Linked DNA regions of Arabidopsis thaliana. The protein of the gene in region 2 purifies or fractionates together with the protein of the main gene of each other region. This does not show direct contact. Each region holds a gene or a part of one and is shown on either strand. Other genes may lie near its edges. The genes, in order: AT-HF and ACS.

The links.
Region 1: the proteins of ACS (region 2) and AT-HF fractionate together in Arabidopsis thaliana (co-fractionation; one large-scale study listed by BioGRID). This does not show direct contact.

The regions. Positions count from the first base shown.
Region 1 is NC_003075.7:13,512,089-13,521,887, reverse strand, and holds AT-HF (HIS HF), read right to left. Parts: upstream 6,457-9,799; 5' UTR 6,375-6,456; coding exon 6,188-6,374; intron 6,096-6,187; coding exon 6,013-6,095; intron 5,920-6,012; coding exon 5,825-5,919; intron 5,733-5,824; coding exon 5,629-5,732; intron 5,516-5,628; coding exon 5,346-5,515; intron 5,239-5,345; coding exon 5,124-5,238; intron 5,024-5,123; coding exon 4,968-5,023; intron 4,883-4,967; coding exon 4,844-4,882; intron 4,731-4,843; coding exon 4,632-4,730; intron 4,452-4,631; coding exon 4,389-4,451; intron 4,282-4,388; coding exon 4,219-4,281; intron 4,127-4,218; coding exon 4,044-4,126; intron 3,914-4,043; coding exon 3,805-3,913; intron 3,705-3,804; coding exon 3,651-3,704; intron 3,431-3,650; coding exon 3,343-3,430; intron 3,004-3,342; coding exon 2,966-3,003; intron 2,891-2,965; coding exon 2,785-2,890; intron 2,583-2,784; coding exon 2,416-2,582; intron 2,340-2,415; coding exon 2,280-2,339; 3' UTR 2,021-2,279; and 1 more. Other genes in the region: AT4G26910 (Dihydrolipoamide succinyltransferase), read left to right, coding at 1-17, 108-152, 270-536, 679-773, 901-991, 1,084-1,194, 1,298-1,492, 1,570-1,761; MAPKKK16 (mitogen-activated protein kinase kinase kinase 16), read right to left, coding at 8,482-9,799. UniProt on the Arabidopsis thaliana protein: IGPS catalyzes the conversion of PRFAR and glutamine to IGP, AICAR and glutamate. The glutaminase domain produces the ammonia necessary for the cyclase domain to produce IGP and AICAR from PRFAR.
Region 2 is NC_003076.8:14,532,532-14,543,342, forward strand, and holds ACS (acetyl-CoA synthetase), read right to left. Parts: upstream 7,911-10,811; 5' UTR 7,766-7,910; coding exon 7,706-7,765; exon of another isoform or gene 7,450-7,705; coding exon 7,397-7,449; intron 7,364-7,396; exon of another isoform or gene 7,098-7,363; intron 7,069-7,097; exon of another isoform or gene 6,877-7,068; intron 6,591-6,876; coding exon 6,377-6,590; intron 6,266-6,376; coding exon 6,122-6,265; intron 6,023-6,121; coding exon 5,867-6,022; intron 5,771-5,866; coding exon 5,648-5,770; intron 5,553-5,647; coding exon 5,384-5,552; intron 5,291-5,383; coding exon 5,208-5,290; intron 5,109-5,207; coding exon 5,007-5,108; intron 4,928-5,006; coding exon 4,839-4,927; intron 4,751-4,838; coding exon 4,660-4,750; intron 4,486-4,659; coding exon 4,372-4,485; intron 4,183-4,371; coding exon 4,106-4,182; intron 4,021-4,105; coding exon 3,942-4,020; intron 3,861-3,941; coding exon 3,792-3,860; intron 3,683-3,791; coding exon 3,507-3,682; intron 3,353-3,506; coding exon 3,296-3,352; intron 3,194-3,295; and 9 more. Other genes in the region: GSL09 (glucan synthase-like 9), read left to right, coding at 1-527, 605-655, 805-990, 1,151-1,399; BGLU42 (beta glucosidase 42), read right to left, coding at 9,633-9,828, 9,947-10,055, 10,233-10,335, 10,453-10,487, 10,571-10,788. UniProt on the Arabidopsis thaliana protein: Catalyzes the production of acetyl-CoA, an activated form of acetate that can be used for lipid synthesis or for energy generation. May play a limited role in the biosynthesis of lipids.

The DNA.
Region 1 (9,799 bases), on a different chromosome or scaffold from region 2:
AAATTGAAACTGATAAGGTATCAATATTTATTTTTTCTTTGTCATTTTTCTAAAGACATCTGTGTTAAATTTTAAAATCTATTATTTGATTCATATTTGTGGATTAGGTGACAATAGATATTGCTAGCCCAGCAAGTGGTGTAATCCAAGAGGTAAATATGTTTGCTCTTTGTGTTGTTTATTCAGTCGTTATTGTTGTTCTCTTTCTGGTGTCTCTCTATAGTTAGTCTTCACTGACTAGACCTGTTTGATTTTGTCTTCTAATGCAGTTTCTAGTCAACGAAGGAGATACTGTAGAACCAGGAACCAAGGTCGCTATTATATCAAAGTCTGAGGATACTGCATCTCAGGTTACCCCCTCTCAGAAGATACCAGAGACAACTGATACCAAACCTTCTCCTCCTGCTGAAGATAAGCAGAAGCCCAGAGTGGAAAGTGCTCCTGTAGCAGAGAAACCCAAAGCACCATCCTCACCACCTCCACCCAAACAGTCTGCTAAAGAACCGCAGCTTCCTCCTAAGGAAAGAGAAAGACGGGTATGCAAAATCTATCATTTTTCCTGGCTTCCGTCTGAAAATTTTTAAATGACTGATCAGAGGTTAAATAAAGTTAGTTTGTTACCTAATAAAAAGCTTTACAGTCACATAATCAGTGATATGACATCTAACAACACTGCAGGTTCCGATGACAAGACTTCGGAAACGAGTTGCAACAAGATTGAAAGACTCTCAAAATACTTTCGCGTTGCTGACAACTTTCAATGAAGTTGATATGTGAGTAACAGCTTAAACCCGTCAAGTTGATATGTCTATATCAGTTATGCGAGTCCTTTTGGTGCACTGAATTATACTAGTCAGTTTGATTTTATTTGCTAATTATGGAGCTCTTTTCTGCGTGTAGGACAAATTTGATGAAGCTCCGATCCCAATACAAGGATGCATTTTATGAAAAGCATGGAGTGAAGTTGGGGCTTATGTCTGGATTTATTAAAGTATACACTTACTTATTTTTCGATATTAATAATACAATGCCAGAGTTAAATGATAGCAAAAATAATACCCTATTCTTCGTTATCTGTCTCAGGCTGCTGTTAGCGCCCTTCAGCATCAACCAGTTGTAAATGCAGTTATTGACGGGGATGATATCATATACAGAGACTATGTGGATATCAGTATCGCTGTTGGTACCTCTAAGGTTAGTTCACATTCTTTAGCTATCATTGGTTTGTGCTAAATTTCATTCTTATTGCGATCATGTATGTGAGGCTGAATTTTTTTTCTTGTGGTCTCTTATCCAGGGACTTGTAGTACCAGTCATAAGAGGTGCTGATAAAATGAACTTTGCCGAGATAGAGAAGACGATAAACTCACTTGCCAAGAAGGCAAATGAAGGAACCATATCCATAGATGAGATGGCTGGCGGATCATTCACCGTTTCAAATGGCGGTGTCTATGGAAGTCTCATAAGCACTCCGATCATTAATCCTCCTCAGGTTTAAATTTATTTCCCATCTCACCGGGTCCCAGTCAGAACCACGTTTTTTGTTAACAGTAACCTGTGGTTTTGCAGTCTGCCATACTCGGCATGCACTCGATTGTGTCACGTCCAATGGTAGTAGGAGGAAGCGTAGTGCCTAGACCAATGATGTATGTCGCACTTACGTATGATCACAGGCTGATTGATGGTAGAGAGGCTGTGTACTTCCTGCGCCGTGTCAAGGATGTTGTGGAGGATCCACAAAGGCTTCTTCTTGACATATAAAAGATTTGGTTTCGAGGAGTCACAAAGTGTCTGGCTTTTGCCAGTTATAGACCTGCAGTGTCTTTAAAACGTTTGGGGGTAACAACAATTCTTATCTTTCAAGTTTCTTTACAGTTTCCCGAGTATTGCGGGATTGGAAGAATAGGCCTCAGTGTCTACGTTCTTACTTTTTACACAGTTTGATACAGATATGTTCAATTTTGACTGAATAAGATACCCTTTTGAGGTTTTTCGGATTGAATGATTTCCTAATAAGATCTAGACGAGAGAGAAGTTACATGCTTTCTTTGTATTAAATAGAAAAGCTGAGAAAGTGAACATACGTTGCTTTCTTACTTTCAAGGGAAATCCATAAATTGTATCAGTCTTACTGTCAACAAAAGGAAATCAACTATAAGAGGATTCACTCAGACCTATTGGAGCTCCGATGGTTCCGACTTAATTTAATTTATTGAAGGTAAAGATTCTATCTTGTTGAATGTGTCATGAATTATGGTAACACGCAGACCAGAAAATTCTCAGATCCTGACTTCTATGCGCTCCTCTTGTAAGTGCTCTTTCACAGATTGGATTGGTACCTTTATACAAAATAGTAGAATAATAGTGTTACCAGGTATAAACGCAAAAGGTTTTAACAAGAGTAAAAACGGTTACCTCTTTCCGGTGGAAAATGCCGGCAGCAAGCGCGGCAGATGCGTTTGTCTTCTCAAACACCTCGGAAAAGTGGTCGGGAGTACCTGCTCCACTGCTTGCGATCACCGGTATGCCTACTGAATCTGAGATGAGCTTTACTAAGTCTATGTCGAATCCTTTCCCTTGACCTGAAACTCGCAGAGAAGGAAGGCATCATAAGGAGATAAAAACTTATAATACATTGATCTTTAACTCCAGCAGCAGTGTAGTTTAAAAGGTGGTTGTGTGCTTTTTTGTTTTTCGTGGATCATATTTAGTTCTCATCGTGTGTAAAGGTGGTCCAAATTTTCAGACATGAAACTAATTCAAAGATTGAAGTTTTGAGTGTACCATCACAGTCTATGCAGTTCAATAGTATTTCACCGGCACCTAATTCTTCAACCGCTTTCGCAAGCTCAAATGCTCCAATAGGTCGACCTTCTCGTCCTCCACTGACCTTTTAGTTGAGAAACCAATAGTTAAGAAATGATACAAATCGATCTTAAAATGAAAAGGGTGGCCGAAATTTTACCGTGCACTGATACCAGGCATATTCTTCTCCATTTGGGCCTAACACCAGCAAGATTTCATCCCGGTTATTACATGTATGCAAATTTATGGAGAAACTCTATACAATGTGACTGTGCTGCTTGTGTAGTTCAAGCAGCTCAAGGCTTTTCAACGAAAGCTAAACTAAGATTGACGCAAGATGAATTATATAATGTCCGTTAGGAAAATAGAGTTCTGAGTTAACATAGCAATAATAAGTTAATAACATTTGCCTTGTAATTTTAATGTATTAGAAAGCTCAAATTAATCCATTTAATGCATGATATATAGCCAGCCTACATAATTTTCCTTTGAACAAATGAGAAAGCAAATATAAGAGAGGTGAGAATACCAGCATACCTGGATTAGTTACTCTGATGACTTTGTATGGCACATCATCCGGATGGTTCACATAAACTCTACGAGGATCAATACTTACAACCACTGCCTGTGGAGCGAAAAAATCTATCAAATAAGTGCAAAGCTGTTTCCTATTTCTTACATAAACTAGAGAACATGAGAAACAGCTATCTAAACACAGTCAATTCACTGTTTACTCCATCTGTAAAACTAAGATATTAATATCCTAATGTAAAGCAACTAGTATCCCTTTATTTTCTGCAAGCAAGAAAAAAGAAAGCCAATTGTTCTGATCTGTAAGCAATTACCTGATTTCCATAAACTCTGGATATCTGTTCTAAACTACTCTTTCCTGTCTTCACCTACAAAAACGCGGAAAATGGGGATAAAATGATCCTTCCGTTTTTAGATACTAGCATGAAAAACAACTCGGATAAATTAGACGGGCAACTACAAACTTACCCCTGATTTTATGAACTCCTCTGCAGCAGAAACAGCGTCACTTCCTATGGAGATCTTATCAGCACCGGATCTGAAATACTCAGCAGCAACTTCCAAGCTAGAATAGTACCTGAGCCAAATTAACTTGATGTTAAATTGTTGTAGGGAATAAAAATTGCAAAGTCCTTGCTGAAATATAAAAGAACATAATGCCTGCACAGACATGTTCACAGAAACAGGCTGAAAAGATTAACATGTACCTGCCACTAGCATCTGTAAAGTCTCTAATACCACCTCCAACAGTTAGTGGTACAAAGACATTCTTTGATGTCTGCCTCAACACCTATAAAGTATGAAAAGAGATCTAAATCGGAAATTACAGGGAAGGTGTGGAAGTAATACTTATATTCTACTGAGAATGAAAAATCTAGGTACCTGAATCATCGGCAAATCCCCTAGAGGAAAATCGCGGAATCCAGTTATGTTTAAAAAGCTAATCTGAAAACCCACAAACAGCACGGTAAAGCGCCAAACCAAATCTAAAAAAGGTGTCTTGGAGCCATTCACATAATATTGCAAGGAGATCATATACAGTAAAAGTATACCTCATCTGCACCATCTTTGTAATACTGCCCAGCCAAATCAACAGGTTTGCCAAGGTTTCGAACCTGTGCAAGAAAAAGGAATGAATTCAGAGCATTGTTACAGACGTTAATAATTAGCTAAACCCAACAGCTTAAAGGTAAGATAAGGACGTATCACAAAAACATCCAAATATCAAGAATGTTTCATTTTTCACAAAGAACACATCGCAGGATATGACATTGAAGCAACAATTTTCAACAAACCTCGTTTTCATTAGATTGCTCTCTCACATCATACTGATCCCCTTTAGTAACTACGAGATCTCCTTTATCATTCGTCCTCACATCAAGACAAGCAATCACCTAAAGGAAAACAAAATATCATTAGAAAAACTGCCTACCAGAATAGTTAAGAGCAAAGATAGCAATGTTGCAAAGGAGGCAGACTTTCAATAATAACAGGACAAACTTCTTACCCTCTTTGCAAGTTTTGAGGCCTTTCCTTCCATTGGCTTCTGTCTTCAAGTGAATTGTGGTTTCCATTAGACACCAAAAAAATCAGGAATTACATTGTACATGTATGGCTAGAGTGAAATCTACCTGTGTTGCAGGTAATTTTGGATGCAAGAACCTTCTTAAAACAGAAAGCCCCACCTCTGAATGTTCCATATTCAGAATTAGTACGATACCAAATATGAAAACAGACTCTGAATAAGAGAAAAAAGATGTCACCAGAAAATGACTAGACTATCATACCCCCGCTCTTTTCAGGATGGAATTGAACTGCATGCACATTTCCCCTTCTTATGGAAGATATAAATGATTCACCATAATTACAGGTAGACGAAATCCAGTCCTTATTTTCATCTGACTATAGAAATTATGAAACTATAATTATCACATGCATGTAGAAGAGAATACAATATGGTAGAGATACGAAAATGACAGAAAGAAAGAAGAGATTATTTAGATCCATACTGGAATGGCCCTGTACGAATGAACAAAATAGACATGACGGTTTCCAACATCATCCAAAATTTCAGAATCCTTCCCAACTTGCAAAGCATTCCAGCCAATGTGGGGTACTCTTATACCAGCTGAAGCATCAAAGCGTCCAACTATTCCCGGTATCACACCAAGACCTTTGACTGTCACATATACAGTTGTTAAGTACAAAAATACATGATATCATAATGTAGTTGAATGTATCGAGGGAAAAATTCTAGAAGACATAATATAAAGTGGAGCAACGGAGCTAAACCTGGTCCATTCTCTTCACTAGAATCGAAAAGTAGTTGTAGACCAAGACATATGCCTAGAAATGGACGGTCATTCTCAATATATTTGCACAAAGCTTCAGCCATCCTGCAACAATCAAAGAACCAAAAATCGTATATTAAGAACTAAGTAAGACATTATTCTAAATGAGAAAATCAGCAGAGGTGATTAGTAAGTACCCAGTTCTGTTAAGTACATCCATGGCGGGTGCAAAAGCACCAACGCCTGGAAATATGAGTCGATCAGCATTCAGAATGTCTCCCGGCGTTTGAACCTAACATTTCAAGTTCCCAAATGTAATCAATTTCATTTTGCCAATAAGAGATCAGTACATATACAAGGAATAAACTTAGATTCGAAAACATACGTCTTTGATGCTGAAGCCGAGATGACGAAGAGCATTGCGGATGCTCCGAACATTTCCAGCTCCGTAGTCAAGCAAAGTCACAACTACTCACCAAAGAGACAGAAGAAAGATTCAGCAATAAATAAGACTAATCAAATATAGTACAACAGGGCAACAGAAAAACAATAGAAAGTACCAGAATCTGAGGTAGAAGATGCGCGGACGGAGAGGCTTCTGGGAGATTTGAATTTGCGATTAACATTGCCAATACTCTTCTGGGAGAGGAATAAAGAAGCCGGAGAAGAAGCGCGAATCGAAGAAGATGAAGAGAAGTTTTGTCTGGAAGAGACAATTGAAGAGAATGGCGCCGCCGTAGCCTCCATTGATATCAAACTCAGTCACTGCTTCGATTGTTAATTCAAAAGGTCGTCGTCACTCGTCACTTTGTCAACACTTACCACTCCACTAACGACGTCGTTTCTCCTCGTGTAGTGAATTTGTATATTAATTGGGCTTTTATGAACTTTTCATAACAGATAATGGGATTGGGCTTCGTTTCACTCTTACAGAGTCTTGTAGCTCTTTTTAAAAAAAATGAAGGTACAGCAAAGTTACTAGTCACCAAAAGTGAGTATTTTAGACTCATGCTCTTAATATATATGATTTACAACGGATAGAAAGTGATTAATAAAACACAAGTTAAAGAAAAGAAAATAATCTTTGATCAAAAAAAAAAAAATATTGAAAGTTCTATATAGTATATCATGCATAGGAGATATATATATAGATAAGTCTCTTAGAGAAATAACAACAGAAATAATAAATTTTCAGTACCAGTTTGAATTTGAGATGAAATTAAATATTGGAGAATGGATATAAGGGCTTACGGTTTATATGTAATACACCAACTCCAGCCATCTAATGCAAGGCATGAAAGATGAGCAAAACAGAAAAGGACAAAAATAAAAGGTTTATATGATATTTGCTATTATTGAGTGTGTTTGCCAACAATAACTCTTCCCAAGTTCCCATCCTTTTTCTCAAGTCAACTCTTTTTAATACTTCTTCTATCTGACTCATTTCTATATAATGATTTAGTAACATGCTCTAGTTTTAACAAGACACTATTACATTTACATCATACATAAATTCAAAACATTTATGTAGGTTTTTGGATCGGTTGAATTGATTTATTTTGAATTGGAGAACATCATAGCATGTGTTTCTGCAGGTAAACTTAATAACCATTTTCATCATAGAATTTGATTGCAGTAATTGTGAATATTTTTATCAGATTGTTTTATATAAGTTTATTATGCGATGAAGTGGTCAAATTTGGGCATTCACCACTTACTACTATCACCAATTCACAAACCCATACTAAAACTAAAAGATAGACAAAAAGAGATGACAAGTAACTTTGGTATGTTATGCGTTTGATGAATGTCACCAGGACGTCATCACTGACTCATCAATCATCAGCATCAACTTTTAAGTCACAACGAACTTATTTCTACCTGTGATCAGTTTTCATTTTGTAGGTAAACTTTATTATATGTTATGCTTTTATGAAATATTAAAGATAGTGGCAATGAGAATGATGGTAAGAAACAATGGTTTTATTTTATTTTGTAATAGTATTAGCTTACAACAGTTCATATCAATGTTTTAATGATTTAAAAGAAGACAAATACTTAAATATAAAATAATCAAAAAAAATTGTACTATACATAATACATTTATACTAAGTGAAAGTGATTTAGAGCTATTGTCGACCAAAGGATATCATTCTATTAAGTGGTATTCTTAAATTGTTGTATTTGGATAAGTACGGGAAGAAAAATATAATTAATGTTTCAACAAATTTCTACAAACGGTACCTAATAAATTGTACGGTATTGATATAAACTAATTTGTTTTGTTAGGTATCGGTGTCAAAGTAGGAATGTTCTGCTCCAATAATCATGTCTATAGAGTAGAACTATCAACTCTCAAGACCGACGAAATTATCAGTGTCGGTGTATGTGTGTTTTTAGATTTCAGACGGTGAAAGTTGACTAAAGTTATTAGATATCATTTTATTTACTTGTTCAAATATGTATTTTGGTGCTTAGTAATTAATTTACGACTATGATTATGTACTCCCAGAGAGTCGTCTGCGTTAACATAACGGGGTCTTATGCGGTTTAGGTAAACACACACAAAATTGTATTGACATGACTTCGTGTGTAAATAAATCTTGGACAAAGTACAGTTTTGACTTCGTCTATAGTCAATCTTATCTTATAGATTGACGTAACCTCTAACAAGAACACAAAGACTTGTGTTTCCAACTTTGAAATATGCAATTTGAATTGTCTTCTAGAGTCCATACAATAGTGATCGTTAGCACATAACCTAACGCATATGTTGCATTGGAAATATTTAGGTAATGTACTAATGTACATAGATTCTTTTATTTTGAAGTTTGAACACATGGACATTGTTTCATCAGACTTGGTTAGTGAATTTAACATGAGCTTGCAATTTGAAAAACAAATGTTTGTTATTAGTACGAAACATATTCTTTATGGATACATTTTCATCTTCATCAGTACAATAATGAAATGCAATTAAATTTCCTTGAATAGCAACATTAGAGTAGAAATTATTAATGATGTCGTCAGAGGAATATTCCGAGAACAAGCTGTCTTGATTCGAAATCCAATCTTCAACTTCTTCAATCGTTTGCGACGATGACGTTGCTTCAACGCAAATCACGTCTTCGTCGCCGTCGCGTTTCTCGGTTTCTTTATGTTTCTCGCCTCTCACTTGAATCCATCCGCCATCGTCTTCCGTATCCCAATCAAGTAAGCTTGAAAACTCATCTCCGGCGAGTTTCTCGATCCGATCAGCCGGTGAATCCAAAGATTCCGAGTATTCAGCAAAAGGGTCTTCATGATCAATCGAAACTAAGTGACTTTTGGAGCTTTCGCATGAATCCCAAAATCGTTGATCCAACACAGTGCTTGGAGAAGAAGTCTTGTTCTTCAAACAATCACTTGTCTGAGATTCTTCGTCGTCATCAAGAAATGGATGTTTAAGTAATTCTTCCACAGTCCATCTCTGTTTTTGATCTTCCTTTAAACAATTCTTCAGAAAGTCTTTAGCTTTATCCGATATCCACGCGGGAATCGCCGGCGACTCGCCTGAAAATCCAATCTTATACATTGCAGCAACGACGTCGTTTAACTCCGGCCAAGGGCTTGATCCAGTCATCATCTCGATCATCGTACATCCCAAAGCCCACACATCAGCCGGAAACCTCTGTTCTTCACCACGAGCAACTTCTGGGGCCATAAACGCCGGTGTACCGGAAAATTCCGACTTGTCAACCGATTTAGCACAACCCATGTCGGCGATTTTCAAAACGCCATTTTCCTCAACCAGAACGTTATGGCTCTTCAAGTCGCAGTGAACAATCCCTCTCTCGTGAAGATACACCAAACCGTTAAGAATCTGACGAGTGTATGATCTTATCTCCGGCTCCGGCAACTTACCGCCGGAATTTTTGATTAAATCGTGAAGATTTCCACCAGAAACGTATTCCATCAGTATATTGTACACCAATCCGTTGCTCTCGCGCGTTAAACCAGTGCCTATGTATTTGACCATGTGAGGAGAGCTCAATGTAGACAAGATTGATTGCTCTTTCTGCAACAAGGACGAAGAAGATAAGTCGGCAGATTTGACGGCGAAGAGCTCACCGGAGCTTGAGATTGCTATAGAGACAGTGGCGGTAGAGCCTCGACCGATGATTGGTCCTCTT
Region 2 (10,811 bases):
TTCAACTTGGGACAAAATTTCATTACTACTGCAAGACATTGTTGCATGGAGGCGCAGAATACAGAGGTACTGGCCGTGGATTTGTGGTGTTCCATGCCAAATTTGCTGAAAACTACAGGTTTTACTCTCGTAGTCATTTTGTGAAGGCTACTGAGCTAGGGATTCTCCTACTCGTGTATCACATATTTGGCCCAACCTATATAGGGTTGTTCACTATTTCGATATGGTTCATGGTGGGTACATGGCTCTTTGCTCCTTTCTTATTCAACCCATCTGGTTTTGAGTGGCATGAAATTGTCGAAGACTGGGCAGATTGGAAAAAATGGATTGAATATGATAATGGGGGGATAGGTGTTCCTCCAGAGAAGAGCTGGGAATCATGGTGGGAGAAGGATATTGAACATCTTCAACACTCGGGAAAATGGGGTATCGTTGTTGAGATTTTTTTTGCATTACGCTTCTTCATATTTCAGTACGGACTTGTGTATCAACTCAGCGCCTTTAAAAATAAATATAGTAGTTTATGGGTAAGCTACTTATGTCGCTTCCTTTTTGAATTCATTACTTGAGTCTCTTAGTTTTGCTAAATACTTTTTTTTTCCAGGTTTTTGGGGCTTCATGGTTACTGATCTTAATCCTTTTACTCACTGTGACGGTATGTAGAACAGTTCATGTCGAGTTTTTTTCTATATGAGATACTAGACTGATTAAATTGTCCGAGTCTCCTTGAATGCTAGATATAAATATGTTAAGTGATCCATGGGTGCTAAGCGATGGATTTTGTTTTCAATGCAACTATCACAGGTTTTGGATTATGCAAGGCGACGGCTGGGAACAGAGTTCCAACTTTTATTCAGGATCATCAAGGTTTCCTTGTTTCTCGCATTTATGGCAATATTCATTACTCTCATGACTTGTCGTCTTATACTACCCCAAGACGTCTTCCTCTGCATGCTTGCATTAATCCCAACTGGATGGGGATTACTACTTGTAAGTCTTCCTGCTCTATCAAACTTCGCCAAATGTTTTAAAACATGTCTTTATTGAGTGTCTGAGATATTTTTATGTATTCTGCTTCTAGGGTTTTCCAAATCCTTGAGGATGTTTAGGATTGTGTTCATATTAAATTATTTTACTGTTCTCCTTCCAGATTGCACAATCTTGTAAGCCTCTGATTCAACAACCAGGGATATGGTCTTGGGTGATGACGTTGGCTTGGGTCTACGACCTCGTGATGGGTTCTCTCTTGTTTATTCCAATAGCGTTTATGGCCTGGTTCCCATTCATATCGGAGTTCCAAACGAGAATGCTCTTTAACCAAGCCTTTAGCAGAGGTCTACATATCTCACGTATTCTCAGTGGTCAGAGAAAACACCGCTCCTCCAAGAATAAAGACTGAGAACCCTATTTGCAGGCAATTGTATTTGGTATATGTGTGCATGCTTTGTAAGGGAAGGCAAATGTGATATACTAAAACCTCTATAAATTAATACTTGATAAATTAATAACCTATATAAGTTAATAATTTTTTGGATATGAGTTGGGACCAATGTAATTTGTTTTTGAAAATTTTATATAAATATATAATCCCATCAATTCTTCAAAAGTCAAGGAAAGGTTAAAATCTGGTCTCATAGCTTCGTTAATGATTGTGGTAATTTATTGAGGAAGATTATGTTTAGGGGGTGCTGCATAATCACAGTGTCAAATGGTGGGTGAGTTTTCTAAAGATAAGTTCTTTAGAAAAACATGATTTAGTGACTTGTATTATTATTCCGCTAGAGTTTAAATTTTGGGTAAAAGGCTTGTTATTATATATAAAAAGCAATTTTTGAAACGCAAAAAATATACTTCCTCTGTTACAAACTAAAAATATTTAAAATTTGACCCATATATCAATCAATCACTTGATATTTAAATTTTTCTAAATTAAAATATAAATTATTATTTTCTAAATTCCACTTAACCAATAATAAATCAATCTACAAGATAAAAAATAATCTCAAAAAATATTTCTTATAGTAAGAACTGTTAAAAAAATGATTAACATCACTTAATAGAAACTATTTTTTATTTTTATTAAAACATAAATTAATAGGAGAAAAAGCTGGTACACTGAAAAAAAAAATCTTTGAAACTTGCGTCACGGCAGGAAGACAACTAGCTAAAACAAACGCCAATATGTTTATATTTTTGTAACTTTTAATTAATTTGATAATCCTATGACCATCTTATCCAAAACCAAATTCATGAGACTGAAATTTCTTTATTCAAAAACACAACAATATAGTCTGCTTACTTTATTCCCTCCAAAACACCTGAATCTTGTTTCAGATTTTTGTACCATTCCCTCTATAAGACACCTGAAAACATATATAGATGCACAAAACTCCATTACTCTCCATTGGCTCATATGCTATGGTTAGTCATCACACATCGGCAAGTGCAATAAGCTGATCAACTACACTAGGATCCGCGAGTGTGCTAGTATCTCCGAGTTCTTCTAATTGCCTCGAAGCAATCTTTCTCAAGATTCTCCTCATTATCTTTCCGCTTCTCGTCTTTGGCAACCCTGGTGCCCAATGTATTCTGTCCGGTGCTGCAAAAGCCCCAATCTGGAAATGGCAAAATTCATACCGATACTCATCAGAAGTGTGCAAAGAACAGTTCCTCAAAAGTTTAGCATCTCTAAAGCTTAAGCATTCACTTTTTCCTTAATATATATCATACCTGATTTCGGACCATTAGTACTAGGCTTTTACGAAGCTCCTCGCTGTAAGGAACACCTTCCAGAAGAGTGACAAACGCATAAATTCCCTGACCTTTTACCTGATACAAGCAAGAGCCTTGACCGTTAGTTACTTTGGTGTGTGATAAGAAGCAAACTGATTTCAGCTTTTATTTGACTGGTAAATGAAGAACGCGGAATCAAGAACAAAATCAAACCCAAGAACCATGAAGAAACCCTAGGTTGTTATAGAGAGCTAGAAGACTCTTCCTGCCTCGATAACTAATTAAACATCATAAGTCATTTCTTGAACTCTTATCAGTGTCATACTGTGCTTCATATCCCAACCACTTATGCATAGTCAGTCCACATACCTCATGTTCTATGCCTACAACAGCTGCTTCTGCACATTGAGGGTGTAAAACCAGAGCAGATTCTACTTCAGCAGTTCCGATTCGATGGCCACTGTGCATTAGAGAAAAATCCAGACATAAGTATAGATTTGAGTGGTAGGAATATTGGAGGTTTAAGGAATTTATTGACATCGTTTTAGATTTTGTGTTCTACCTGACGTTGATAACATCATCAACCCTCCCTGTAAGCCAGTAGTAACCATCCTTGTCTCTGGAATACAAAATAGAACTTATTAAAAACTTAGTCAAATTCACCCGACTTTGGATATTATCAATATATTAAAACGCCTCTATCTAAGCGATAGTTGAAAGATGGCACACTAACTAGAAATTGGTTTTTGTGAAAAGTAAGATAGATTATCCACCTGCTGCAACCATCACCACTGAAATAATATCCGGCAAAAGGTTTAAAGTATGTGGTTTCGTATCTTTCATGATCCCCAAACAGAGTTCGAAACGCCCCGGGCCATGAACCTTTGACACAAAGATAACCACTACACTCGCCTTCGATTTCATTGCCCTTTTCATCAACTATGACAGGCTGCAGCATACACAGAGAGATAGAGATGAGAGTGAAGCCCTCTCCAAAGAAGAATATCTCTAGAAAGAAGCAATATGCTAATTATTAATTTGCACTACAAATCACATACCTGAACACCAAAGAAAGGGAAAGTGGCTGAACCAGGTTTCTGGGGCCAAGCACCTGGCAATGGGGTTATCTGCGATGCAATTTGATGCACATGAGAGAAAGAGAGCATGCAAGAGGTTTTAAGAGAGATAAAGAGGGAGTAGAGGGTTACCATGAAGCCACCAGTTTCAGTTTGCCACCACGTATCTGAAATGGGACACCTTGAATCACCGACTACATTGAAGAACCATCTACATCAAAGATTCGGTTAACCATTAAATATAGTTCCCATTCAACTGACCGCAGGAATAAATCTAGAGATATTAGAGTTCAAACCTCCAGGCACTAGGATTGATGGGCTCACCAACACTTCCAAGGACCCGCAGCGATTTGCGCGAGTGACGTGTTACAAACTATAACAATTAAAATGAGTTGAAACGGAAATAATTAGTAAATGATGTAGAGACCTAAAAGTATTATCCCACACACAAGGCTTAATTTACTATACAAAAATTAGAGGGCAAATAAATACAGCCGTAGCTTACAAATCATTACAATACTGATTACTTTTCACCGCAACAGAAAGATTGCATATATCTTACCTTATCGTCATCGCGCATGAGAGACCTCACCAATGTTGGGGCAGTATAAAATATTGAAACCTTGTATTTGTCAACAATATCCCAACAGCGTCCAGGGTCAGGGTAGTTTGGAGCCTGTTCAAAATCAGATTATAATATCAAAATCCATATGAAAGATATGAACAGTAAAACCAATTTGCGCTTAAATGCTGCTAGCTCTTTAATGTATTACTATGGGAGAGGGACCTAGAGCTTAATTATTGATTTAAGACATTAACTGATAGAAAACCATATATTCAAATAGATTACCCCCTCAAAGACAACAACAGTGGCTCCATTAAGCATTGGTCCATAAGTAACATAGCTATGGCCAGTTATCCAACCACAATCTGCTGTACACCTTATGTTAGAAAAGCAAAGAGATTAGCACTATATAGCATAGCTTTTGGTAAGGAAGTTTAACAGTCAAGACAAGTGTCTTTGCATACCAGTATACATCTGTTGATTTGTAGTCAAATGCATATTTGAACGTTGTAGCAGTGTAGATCATATACCCTCCAGTTGTGTGTAGGACACCCTTCAAAAACCAATATTTAATAGAGAAACATATCAAAAATCTACGCTAAAGATTTAATCTAACCAAGGACCAAAGTTACCTTTGGCTTCCCAGTACTTCCACTGGTGTAGAGCAAAAACAGGGGATCTTCTGCATCAACCCATTCCACCTCACACGATGTTGGATATTGAGAAATAACATCCTAAAGTGATCACCACCACCCACAGAAGACTTTTAGAACCATTCGAAAAAAAAAAACAATGAAGGAATTTTGACAATTATTAAGTTGCTCTGCAGTTACCTGCCACCACACATCTCTTCCATTCTGCCATTTAGTGTTTTCCCTTGTTGTCGCTAATGAGTTGTCATAGGTCAAGCATATGCCTGGTTGTAGAGAAGTAAAACACAGAAAATCATCAGTTATATATCCATCAAACCAACAACCACTCAAATTCAGATTCTGGTGAATGAACAAACCTACAGAGACTCCATCTTTAGAAGATTGGTCAAGTGCAGCATCAACAATAGCTTTAAGGTTTATGGTCTTAGGGCCTCTTTTAACAGCATTGCAAGTCAGTATTACATTTGGCTTGCAATCAACGATTCTTTGGGCAAGAGAGTCCGCAGAAAATCCAGCAAAAACGACCTGTGGGAGAATTGAATTAGTTTCGAAACTGGTTTTGTGTTAATGAATTAGGTATATGTTGTATTGTAGAAAAATGTACGAAAATCACAAGTTACCGAATGAACAGCTCCGATCCTTGCACATGCAAGCATAGCGATGGGAAGTTCCATCAACATAGGTAAATAAATTACAACAGCATCACCCTTCTTCACTCCATTATCTTTCAAGTAATTAGCAAGCTGCAGCACAAGGACAAGGAAAATGCAGTGCCAGAAAAATAATGAGAAAGAAGAGCTCTAGAGGTGGTTGGAGAGGACGAAAAACAGTGTTTATACCTGGCAAACTCGTTGGAGCAACTCAGAATAAGTTAAGGAAGCATCTACCCCAAGTTCATTTCCTTCCCAGTGTATGGCTGTTTTATCACCCAAACCAGCTTCAACGTTTTTGTCCAAACAGTTGTAGCAAATATTGGTGATTCCCCCTTTAAACCACTGGTCATACATGATCCCAGACATGTCATCACGACGAAACATTTTCTAATAGGAGATACAGGAATTAGAACAAAGAAAAAGAAGAAGAAAAATATCCACCTCGATGCTAATAGGACCCTTCCTGACATCGAGATTCTCGGAAAACACTTGGTCACCCCATTTCTGCTTCCAGTAAAACTCAGACGCAATATCAGACCAAAAAGCAGCAGGGTCATCCATCGACCTCTTATGCATTTCCATGTACTGCATACAAATAACAAGACGAGAGATGATTTACAGATCATAAAAGCAAGCAGAGAAGATGAGGTCTGCTGATCTAGGACTCATTTGATGTTACAAGGTATAAAGAGAGACCTGTTGAGGGGAGGAAACAAGAGCCTGGCCGGAGAATTCCTTGCTGGGAAAGACGAGATCATTCTCCTCCGATGCAAGGGATTCTCCTAACACGACGGCGTTTAATTGAGAGATCTTTCCGGCACCTGAGGGTAGCTGGGACATGGACTCGACATGCCTCAGGGAATTAGACGACATTTTCCTATGGAGGAGAAGATTCTCCGATGGGGATGATCTAATATACATACAATTAGAACTTATAAGAAGTCATAACAAACAAGCAAAATCACAAATGTTTTAACTTATGTTAAAAATACTTTGGTAAATTCGGTAAGACTATTAGACTGTTAAATGAATTTCCTCTGTTGACTAAACACCAAATAAATCCAATGATAAACCAAAAAGTAATCCAAAATCTGTAAGAACTCAAATAGAAAAGAAATACTTATGAGTCACCTATGGGGGAAAAGCGAAAGATGAACTAAAACTTATTGTGAAATGTGAAGTCTCAAAGACTAAACCTTTTAACTTCAAACAAAGTTACCAACACTAATCAAGGAAGACACAAACAAGCCTGAAACAGGTTACTCTAAAGAATTGGGACAGCTCCATCACGAATCCAGTCAAATAAATAACCTAACAAATCGAAAAAGTCTGAAAAACATAAATATCAATAAAGTCCAAATCTTTAATATTCAAAACAATTCTCCAACACTGTCTTTTTCTTAAAGCCAGTAATCACCATGTTCAAAGTTCAAGGGGTCACAAATGCGGTCTAAAGTTCAAAGCAACGGCCAACGGGTAATATCAATAAACAACAATCAAGACATAGAACCTCATCCTTAAACCCTGAATCATCAACAACATATCAACATCACATCACATCATCAACAGCATATTCATCATTATCCTTTTACCCTCATCAGTCATCATCATATCATTATCATATCATCATCACTATAACAGAAAATTTCAAACATTTTCTTACACTCATGATTCTAAATTTCGAATCAAATTTCAGAAAGAAAAAAAAAACCTCACCTTTGAGTAGCCGGAAGGATTCGAGATCCAAGTGATCCACTAATTTTCGGATCCTGAACAAAAAAAGAACAAAATCAGAACATCAAAAGATAAAAAGACTGAAACTTTACGAAACCCAAATCAAAGATCATATCTTTCCTATTCCAATGATCATAAGATTCGATTTCAATGTCCAATTTTTGTAATAAATAAAAAAACGAAAACGACTCACTGGGTCGTATTTGAAGACTGTAACGAGACAAAAAAAACAAAACTTGAAAATTCTTAAATAGAGAACATGTTCGTGTTCGTAAGAATAAGTCAACTCACCAATGAGCCTGAGCTGGAGACAACGCTGAGAATCGGGGAAGAAGGAGATCCTATTTTCATTTTCGTTTTTTTTTTTTTTTTGCCTTAATTACCTTTTTTTATTATTCCTCGTTTTTTGTTCATTATTAAATTTGCCTGCCTTGTGCTCACCTACTTATATACCCTTCCATAGTATTTGGCATGAACGTGACTTGGTAGAGTGTGGTACGGTTCTTGTCTCGGACTATTTAAGTACGATGCAGATTTTGTAAAAACGTAACGTGTTTTTGATTTGTGGACCACTTATGAATCTTATCAAGTATCTAAAATTAGACATTTCATGTGCGTAGATGTCAATTACTTGTTTCTAAGAATTAAGAAACATATAAGTTATTGTTTCTGAAATCGTGTAGGATAATTTATCTACTAATTATGGAGTATTGTATAGTATATTTGGATTCAAACAACTCATTTACGAAAAATATTGAAAATTCAAAATTAGTCTACCTTCCAGGTTATCAAGTTCGACCGCTAGTCAATTGATTTTTTTTAACGTATCTATAGATATTATATAGTTATATAATGTTAAAATAAAATAATCATACCATGTTTAATTAACAAAAGATGAAATCTAACATAACAACGAAGTGATTATAATTTTGAAATCCAACTAAAACCAAAAATAAATACTAAGATAGTAGGAAATGATCAATAAGACGAGACTCAAAGAGTAATAATCTCACTCTTAAAACTCGTCTTTGCAGATGCAAGATAAGTAAGAAAACAATTAGGTTCAAATATTTGAGTACTAAATTATTTGAGAAAGAGCAATGAAATTATTGAAAATAAGTTACGGTATAATAACTATGTCTATGAATTCTTCATATGCCCAGAACCATAATCATATAGCTTAGCTTTGTTCCTTTAGTTTAAAGTGATCTGTTGAGAAACATAAGGAATGCATATTTTGTTGATGAGTTAGGATATAACTTCATTGTTTAACTTTTTCTATTATATGCTTTTCTTGTTAAGGAGAACCTTTAACAATGTTTTTGATGTCACTGTAAGCATAGCAGCATACAGATCAGTTTCAAATTAAAGGAAACAGTTAAGATAATGGGAATCAAGTAATGTAATTATATGAACTTCTTATTTGAGTATTATTGAGAATTTGAAACTTAAAAGCGTGTTGTGTCGTCATATTAGATGCAAAACAAAATAACATTCAAGCTTGATCCTCCAGTCAACATAGGTTCCTAGAATGTGACAGAATCTGGTTGAACAATGGCTTCATCAGTCTTATCGTCATGCTTATTCTGTTATCCAAGTAGACAAAAGAGTTGTAAGTAATTAATGTTCACATGTATAACCGAGATGATAACAATTGAACAATCAAAATAGAGAAAACAAAAAAAGTTTGGTTGAATCTTTTCCAACTACGTCCAATAACGAGGCCGTTGAATTATATGATCAATCGAATCACACACAAGTCACTAAGGCTTTGTGACGACCAGAGAAATTGGCTACAATTCGATTTTAGAACTGGAGAGTCGAACATCTCTAGCGTGATACAAAGTCGAACATGTGTGATCTCTAACTATCCAAGAACCTCCACACATGGACTTCGATTCCTTCTTCTTGGCTAAATTCGATATTCACTATCAAACATTGTTAAACCAGTCTAACTCTAATACATCGTTTAAGACACTCTAAAGTAACTCTTTCAATATTCACTATTGAACTCTTAAGTAACTCTTTCGATAGGTAAGAAGAAGAAAATCGATGTAATACGAAACACTTAGTCAAAATATGAGTTTAAAACCAAAGAGCACCCCAAGTGATTTGGTTTGTTATTGAACTAATTGATCTATTTGGTACAAAAATTATAACATCACAACACATTTCATGTAAAATGCTGTAGTAGCTTTAGTTTTCTTTGATCCTTTTTTCATTCCTTCTTACCTTTGTTTTCTTCATCACCTTTCAGAAATTTCATGAACCAGTAAGCAGATGATTTTGGGTGACGGGTTAAACCGTTCTTGTAGTCTACATATACCAAACCAAATCTCTTGGTGTACCCTTGCGCCCACTCGAAGTTGTCCAGCAGCGACCACGCAAAGTATCCCTTTATGTCCACTCCGTCTCTGTTTCAATTTTCGCCATTAACATAACACTCTCACTAATTTACTTGATAAAAATTCTCTGTTTCCTAAGTTTTTGTCGCTTGTAAACAACTGAATGAAGGGAAAAATGTTGACTTACTCAATAGCCTGGGAGACGTTGGCAAGGTAACTCTTGAAATAGTCAACTCTACGTTTATCGTCAAGCATATCATGAATAGAGGCCGATCCATCATCTTCATCATCCATACCTGTCGTGTTGGACCAAGAAACCTTAACCTCAGGATATATATAATAGAAGTTCAATTTGACCAAAATAATTCATTGTTTCCAACTTTTTTTTGGATAACAAAACTACTGCTATTCTTAACACGCTATGCATTGTACTATATTAAGCTGTACCATAGAGTTACAAGGATAGTAAATACCATTTTCAGTGATAAATATTGGAGGGTGGTTATATTTTTTGCTCATGTAATTCAATGTCTTTCGGATTCCCCAAGGCACAGCATAAAGCCAATCCGAAGCAGCCTGTAATTGGCACAGATTATTTAGTTTATTACTAGCTTACACATCCTTGCCTTAAGCAGATGTGCAGAAATGTCAATAAAATCATTAGATTAGCTGAGACTAAGAAGAGAATCTTACCCTTTCGCCTATCAAATCTCCATTTTCCAGTTCAACTGTGCACGGAAAGAATAGAGGATGAATACTAGGAAACAAGTAAGAAGATACTATTAGCATAAGAAATTTCAGCATTTGTTACCAATCCTCTCCAATTCTTGTGCTTGGTAAAAGTTACTCTCAGCTTCTTTGTTTGAGACATGAGAAATCAACCTCGACGTATAGTGGTTCAGGCCAAGGAAGTCCCATGAGTTTTGAAGCATAAACTCCTTTTCTTCCGGAGTAAATCTAGGAAGATTGTCTCCAAGTTTCTGGCGCATACTTGCAGGATAGTCTCCAAAAAACAAAGGATCCAAGAACCTGCAAAGTATTTAATTTGTTAT